2 linked regions of the Schizosaccharomyces pombe genome follow. The protein of the gene in region 1 interacts with the protein of each later gene in a pairwise test. Each region holds a gene or a part of one and is shown on either strand. Other genes may lie near its edges.

Evidence for each region. Proteins that work in one complex are often made in the same cells at the same time.
Region 2: the proteins of cog4 (region 1) and pex14 interact in a two-hybrid assay, tested with the Schizosaccharomyces pombe proteins (2 studies listed by BioGRID).

Annotation. Positions count from the first base shown.
Region 1 is NC_003421.2:1,352,514-1,356,271, forward strand, and holds the start of cog4 (COG complex subunit Cog4), read right to left. Parts: upstream 1,933-3,758; 5' UTR 1,697-1,932; coding exon 1-1,696. Other genes in the region: proteinase B inhibitor Pbi2, read right to left, coding at 2,763-2,996. UniProt on the Schizosaccharomyces pombe protein: Component of the peripheral membrane COG complex that is involved in intra-Golgi protein trafficking. COG is located at the cis-Golgi, and regulates tethering of retrograde intra-Golgi vesicles and possibly a number of other membrane trafficking events.
Region 2 is NC_003423.3:3,730,797-3,734,389, forward strand, and holds pex14 (protein Pex14), read right to left. Parts: upstream 1,604-3,593; 5' UTR 1,557-1,603; coding exon 1,284-1,556; exon of another isoform or gene 1,224-1,283; coding exon 636-1,223; 3' UTR 501-635; downstream 1-500. Other genes in the region: mpg2 (mannose-1-phosphate guanyltransferase), read left to right, coding at 1-428; abh1 (alpha-ketoglutarate-dependent dioxygenase), read right to left, coding at 2,010-2,134, 2,198-2,966. UniProt on the Schizosaccharomyces pombe protein: Component of the PEX13-PEX14 docking complex, a translocon channel that specifically mediates the import of peroxisomal cargo proteins bound to PEX5 receptor.

The sequences.
Region 1 (3,758 bases):
TGCAAAGATTTTCAAAATTAACGGTTAGCTGCAAAAAATTATCAATCGATTTCTTTACCAATTTTTGGTCTTTGGCAAAGGCAAAAACTTCTTCCAACCGACTAGAAACACCATCCACAATTGATTTTAGATATTGCTTGCTGAGTGAAGCACTATTTACCAATGTTATGTAGTTTTCGACTTGTTTGGCGGGAATGCTATTTGCATTCTTTAGCCTCTGGAACTGAGCTTTTATAATGTTACAGACAGTTAAAAGATTATGGGAAAGGTAGACATAGTAATCATTTCTTAAAATAGGGATTAAGCTTTCGTTAACAAATCTGGTGAAGAATAAAGAGGAGACTGTAAAAAACGCACGTTGGAATACTTGCTTCGTAACGTACATGACATCGTCTACAATAGAGCTCATCCATGGGGAAACCTTTGTGTAATATTCCTCAAGTTCCAAAGACGTTTCTATACTTCTCCTGAAATAGTATGTTTCTAATTGTAATAAGGATGGAAGAAGTTGCTTTTTTAACAGAAGTTCCATCTTTGAAGAATTGAAAATAGATGCACAAATAAGATTGTCCTGGACAGATGGATCATTCGAAGTACCATCAGATTGGGACAATCGAAGGACAAGACGGCTAATAAATATTTTTGAGATATTCCATTTGGAGACAATGGCTGACATTTCATTCAAAATCGGATGTAGCGTTTGAAGAGAGACCCTTTCTAATTCCTTTTGATCCGAAACAAAGGCACGATTTTTCAACTTCGCATGTAACAAAATGTATTTGTAAGAAGCTATAGAGCTTACGAGGTTATCAATTCTTCTCACGTCAAACATGGTATTCACGATAATGGAACCTTGGCGATCACAATCACCTTGCAATTTTTCAATAACGGTGATGGTGTTTTTGGCCTTGTAATATTTTTGAACAAGAGGCGTATGTGCGCGTATGATAGAAGCAACATGCTCGACCAGTCCGGTAAATGCCTGTGCAAAAAAAAGAGCATGAGTAGGGGGCTCATCGAGAGTGGCCCTAGCTTTAGAAGCAATAATTCCACCAAAAAAATGCCAATAAGCTTCTAATCCTTCCTTTTCTTTGCCGATCAAAGGGAAGAGTTTGAAGTAACGAGTGATTTCTTTTTGATCCTGATTTCGGGCGGCCTTATGGAATTCCCGCCAAAAGAGAGTGTGTAGAGATTCGGTGATTTCTTTTAAGGTGTCCATGGGCGCTAAAGGTTGCTCAGCTGTGGGAACAACGGCATGTGCAAATTTCCCTTCGATGATAGCCGGCGATGTGGAGCTTGCTCGATGTACTAAATCAGCTGCTTTTTCCCATTGTTGGTGATGCATAGCTCTGTTGAGATCCTGCAAACATTCTTTGAAATCTCGGACTTGACGAACAAATAAAAGACACTCTTTTATACGATTCTGTTCTCTATCGACCGATTTGATTCTCTCAATGACCTCCTCGCTAACGATAGTGGTATTGCAAAAAGCATCTTTAAGCTCTTCAATCTGACCTACAAACAGCACTAGACGTTCTGCCATATTCTTGATTAAAGAATTGAACTTCTCAGTCGGCTGTGCATCGCTTAGCAGCCTTTCCAGCTTTTCGTCGGTTCGTTGGGATTCGACTTGTAAGTCATGAAACCGTTGTTTAATTTGCGAGATATCAGTGCAGTCATTGATGGATATGTCCATTGTACACTCATTAAATAAAGAAAGACTAAAACGCGTTCGCAAATTATCTCAAAAAATCTACGAGGTTGTGAATATTAACCGCGCAAAATAACAATTAAAAAACTCAAAGTAAGAGTGAAAGAAACCAAAGTAAGGGTTGTCGTCAGTTGATTTTCGAATTAATTAATTTTTAAATAAATTAGTAAACCTTGCAACGTCTCCCATTCAACTTGCCAAATGCCGCACAATTGACTCCTACTAAAAAAAGAGTTACTGAGTGCATTGCAAATGGTCAACTTTACGATATCATACTATTCCAGTAACTAATAATTAACGAGACGATAAATATCATTATTTGACAGAACGCAACATCGCAGACTCTAATAGCGAGAGTTCGCTGTTGTTCTTTAAATGTTTGATGTGAGGCAGGAAATATAGGAGAGTATATTTTGTTGTGCAATCATTCATTCTTATAGTACAACTGTAATAAAAAGTCATGGAAGAGCAATTTCCAAAAGCTGTATTTTAAAAATTTACGGTTTTCTGCTACGCCTCGTTGTTAAATACAAATCCATGTTTTTCGAAATTTCAGCATATTTGTCACCAATGTGATGGCCAAACAACAACTCACAAAGAAGGTAGTCTATGTTAAACATCTCAGTTCTACCTAAAACATACTCATGTATACCCCCTTCTAAGAATTGCTTCTCTTTTTCTTTATTTATTTATTTTCACCTTGAATCCTTTACTCGATTTCCCACTGCTGTACCAATATTCCTCTCCTCGTCCAAACAACTAGATCTTTATGGAAGTTACTACTGGGAAGCGAATATTACTAAGACATTACAAAAATGTGTGTACTATTTTACGGTCGAATTGGTCGACACAAAGAAATGGTAAAACGCGACCGACCTACTAATTAATTCTAAAAAAAATCATCAAATTAACAATTGGTATTTGTTTGATCATAACGATGTATATGAAATGTCATAAAGTACTTGAGTGTAGAAACGCATGCGTGCGACGAGTGACGAGCTCAACTATAAGCAATTGATATGGAGGCGAAACTTTCTGTAAGGAGAGAAATCTAATCCTTCTTCATAGTATGCATCTCTTGGTCAGGCTCAAAATGTTGAATTTCAGGATGAGCAGACAAAGCATCTACTGCATTCTCAGGAAGAGAAACGCTGAATCCCTTAAATACGGTATCATAAGTATGACCAATTTTAGCACCAGATGCCTCTAAATCAGATTTTATTTTATCCATCGATGCAGGATCAACAGAATCTTTCAATTGAACGATATACGACTTTTGACTCATGGCGAAATAACGAAGGCGAAAAAAACAAGGAAAGTAGCGTTTCAGATTTTTTAGCTGTACTTAAAATTCACTTAATTGTCAAAAAATGAACAAGCTTATGTAGTACAGATAAGAAGGAATTGAGCGCAAAGGGGAAAAGGCTGGTTTATATAGCATTCGCCATGTGCATTACGTAGGTCAGCTTATCTAAATAGAACGGTTGTGCACATTGCTTGCTTAGCCAATTTATTAGCTCTTTCTCTTTCAGTATACTTTTTAACGAAAGTCAAAAGAACTTTGGTAAAATAAATAACAAAATATATATTACATTTTCGTATTGTACATTGAGAAGGCTATTGCATTTGCATATAGGGACACAATATTCCTCATTATTCCTTTTTTTCACGCAGTGTAGACAACGCGGTCTGGAAAAGACATACATCCATTGGAATTGAGTTGTATTTTTGGGATAGGCGGTTGAGTGAGAATGAAATTGAGAAATTAGATGCTTTAATAACCAGTGCTTTTAAATTGCTTCTTGCTTTTTGATCAACACCGTGATTTCACTCCTGCGAGGTACATGTTACCTAGCTTTGATCTAATTTGAAAAGTTGGACTCATGGATGGTAAAGAGAGAAATTTCGTTTTATCCATACTTAATCATAGTATGTCTCTCACGCATACTCTCACATAGGTAGTTAATTGGGATTCTCATTTGTTTAAAATTTAGCTGGTTTGCAAAGGAAAACAGGTTGACTCCTGTCTTTTTTGGGTCTTTGGGAT
Region 2 (3,593 bases), on another chromosome or scaffold:
GTACTCTTCCAAAACCCGACACTGAGGCTGAGATCATTCAGCCGGTTTTTATTCATCCTAATGCTATTGTTAGCAAAGGTGCAAAGATTGGACCCAATGTTTCAATTGGTGCTCGTGTTCGCATCGAGGATGGCGCACGTATTCGAAACTCAATTATTCAAGAGGATTGCGAAATTTCTGCCAATGCTGTTGTTTTACATTCCATTCTTTCCCGCCATTGCAAGATTGGTAAATGGTCTCGAGTCGAAGGTTCTCCAACTCTTCCAAGCCAGCACTCCACTACGATTATGCGTAACAGCGTTAAAGTCCAAGCTATTACTGTTATGGGCGCCGATTGTATAGTCCATGATGAAGTACGCGTTCAAAATTGCCTTGTACTTCCTCATAAAGAAATAAAGGTTGGTTTGGTTGGTGAGATTGTGATGTAAGATACTACATTTAACCTTGCAGCAAACTTGCTTTTTATTATATCTACTTGACTCTCCTTTATTATATAATATACATTTATTAGCTGATGCAGAATGCAGATTGTTAAATGATTAAGATGCGTCTTGACAGACCAGTTAAATGACATTAAGTATTATTCTAGAAAAAATCCTGAATTTAATTGTTATTAGTGATTTGTTTTATTACTGTCAATAAGCATCTTCTGCAACGTAAGACTCTGCGGGATCAATATCATTGAAATCAATGTTTTTAGAAGCCTCGTTATGCATTGATATTTGCCAATCTGGAAGGGAGGCAGTACCAACCTTTTTAGTTTGAAAACCTTCTGAAGTATCTAAAGGATTCTCTAATACTGGTATCGAAGAGTTTGATGTGGTAGCGAAAGTGTCGTCTTTTTTTGAATCAGTTTGTAAACATCGTAGAGAGCTAATTTCTCTCGAAAGGTTTTGTAATGCTTCTTCTTGAGATTTCTTAATTTGCTCAAGACTTTGTGGTAAAGTAATAGTACTCATGGTATATACATCTTGTGAGATTCTAGCTATTTCACGATCTCGGTTTTCGGACGTACGCTTCAAAGTATTCAACGTCTCTTCTAAATCATCTAACGCAATGTCCAATTCATCTTGCTGTTTTTCAGTTCTCTCGGAAAGCTTTCTTGTTTGTTCATCTAAATTTTCGAGTATTTTATGAGCTTCTAGAAATTTAGCATCCAAAGCGTTTTTATCAGCTTCATAAGCGTTTTGAGATGGTGCGCGAAACATTGGTGCTATGTATTTCTAAATTTAATTATGTTAAAACAGCACGAATATTTTAAATGTTCAGTTTTTTGAACGTACCTTTACTAATGAATACGCCGACCATGCAAATCCAGTCGAAATAACGCCCATAATAAACCAATCTCTCCAATCTCTTGAAACAAAATTACTAGTGTTTTCAAATCGAGGATAAGAAGGGAATAGCGGATTTTTTGCTAGCTTGAATGCTTCTTGAATTTCTTCGGCAGTTAAACCTTTGGATTTTAGAAATTCAATCTTTTTCACATCAGGAGCATCTAATACAGTTTTTTCTCTTAAAAATTCAACGGAGTTTCTTAACAAATCCTCCCTCATTTTTCAAATTGACAAATGCTTTGTACCGAATTCGCTAGTTAGTAGTTGTATGGAAATAAGCAACTGAAATATATTGAGTAAACTCCGGACTGCAAGATAGTAATTTCACGATAATTCTCTAAACAAGCTTGGAAATGTCGAGGTTTATGTTTTTTTAAGAATGGGATTACACAATTGTTTAATTTGTCAAATTAATTTGTGAAAGTACGCTAATGAATTGTTCTGGTTATATTACGCCGAAAGTTATTAACTGACAAATTAAAGAAAAAATTGTTTCTTATTGTTTGGTGGTTTAATACAGTGTTAAATAAAAAAATTATTTTTCGAAAGTTCAATAGAAGGAACAAAATATTGACAAAACAAGTAAGCACATGATATATATGTAATTATGGTATCAATCATTCCTAAGCCCTAAAAACAATTTCTATTTTATTAAAAATAACCATATTTACATTATCTAGAAGGCCTAACCTGTCTAACATTGAAGTTCACTCGCTTTCTTGAAATCCATCCATCCCAAGCCTTGTTTCCAGTCAATAGGTAATTAGGCGTAGAGTTGGGTATAATCTTAGGAACAGCTGCGGTAAGTTAGTAAGCAATCAATTGACTATAAATGAGGTATTTGAATGAACAATGCTTACCATGGAAAGCCTTTCTAGAAGTTCCAGTCATAATTACAACGTCTCCACTGTGTAAACGTAAAGCTGAAGGCTTTTCCGACCTCGACTCGGTACCGATCAAATATATGCAATCCAAACCCATTGAGAGAGAAATTAATGGAAGTGTCAAATCCTCTTCAGATTCATCGATATGTGCACTCAATGTGTCACCAGGAGAATAAAAATTTACGATTGCAGCTTCAGCTTTCCAATGTAAAAAATCTGTGCTCTCTTTAACAACCTTTTCAACAAAGTCACCTAAATCTTTGGGAAACCCAGGAGATTTGGAAGGATCAGGATACTCCTTCGTCGTCCAGTCATACTGTTCACCTAGTGTAACCCATCGAAGCTTTTTATGAACTAGTCTGTCAACCGTCAAAGGCTTAGTTTCTCCAAGGCCGTCAATGATACTTTCTCCATCACCATTGTAATATCTGCGCCATATGCTATCATTACCTAATGGTAGTTGATAAAATGGTGAAAGGTTGGTCTTGTTTTCAGGATCTTGAATTTGCGTAAACATTATAGATTTTAACAGCTGCATTTGCAGTTCCGATGAAACATAGTTTTTAAGAATTAATAATCCAGGAGCTTTTTGAAAAGAAAAAACTCTAGGTTTAATTTCAACTAAAGCTTCAAATCCAAAAGACTGGGGATCATTAGGATCAAGGACCTCAGACATGTCAGGAATTGTGTCGGCACGACATTTATAGCGTTTTTCTTCTAAACGAAAAACATTCGCCTGTTCCATGTTTCCCGCTAGCATTTCAATAAACTAACTTTATGTGGAGAAATCGACAGATCATTTAATAGAGACTGAATGAAAAAGTTTAGGCCACTTGCAAGGTTTTTCTCCCAGACAGTCATAGATAATTAAATACAGTAAGAACCATAGTACAACTTAATTCAATTTTTACCATAATGCGTAATATTTATTACCTTTACATCTTTTATACATATTCTCAATTAATATACTTTGGCATATTTTAAATGCGAAGTTCTTAAATACGCTTTAAATGGTTAACCCTTTTAAAGCAGCAAGACCCAACAATACTATTCATTTTACCGAAAAGTGGTATTTTATCATACAAAAAATAGAAGAAACAGGCAAACATTCGAAGTTGTTAAAGAATAGAACACTTTTATACGTAACTACAAATTGAGTTATAATCACTGCCAAAATTCCCTATAAAACAATTCGTATAAACACAGTGTCGTGAATGAAAAAAATAAGAAGATTTTACTTTTAATAAAGTGATGGGATCAGTTTAAGACTTGAATGAGATGAAATGTTTTTTATAGTAATTTATTCATTTACGTAGGTCCAATAGAAAATATACCGATGTCAATCGATTTTGTTTTTAAACTCGCAGTCTGA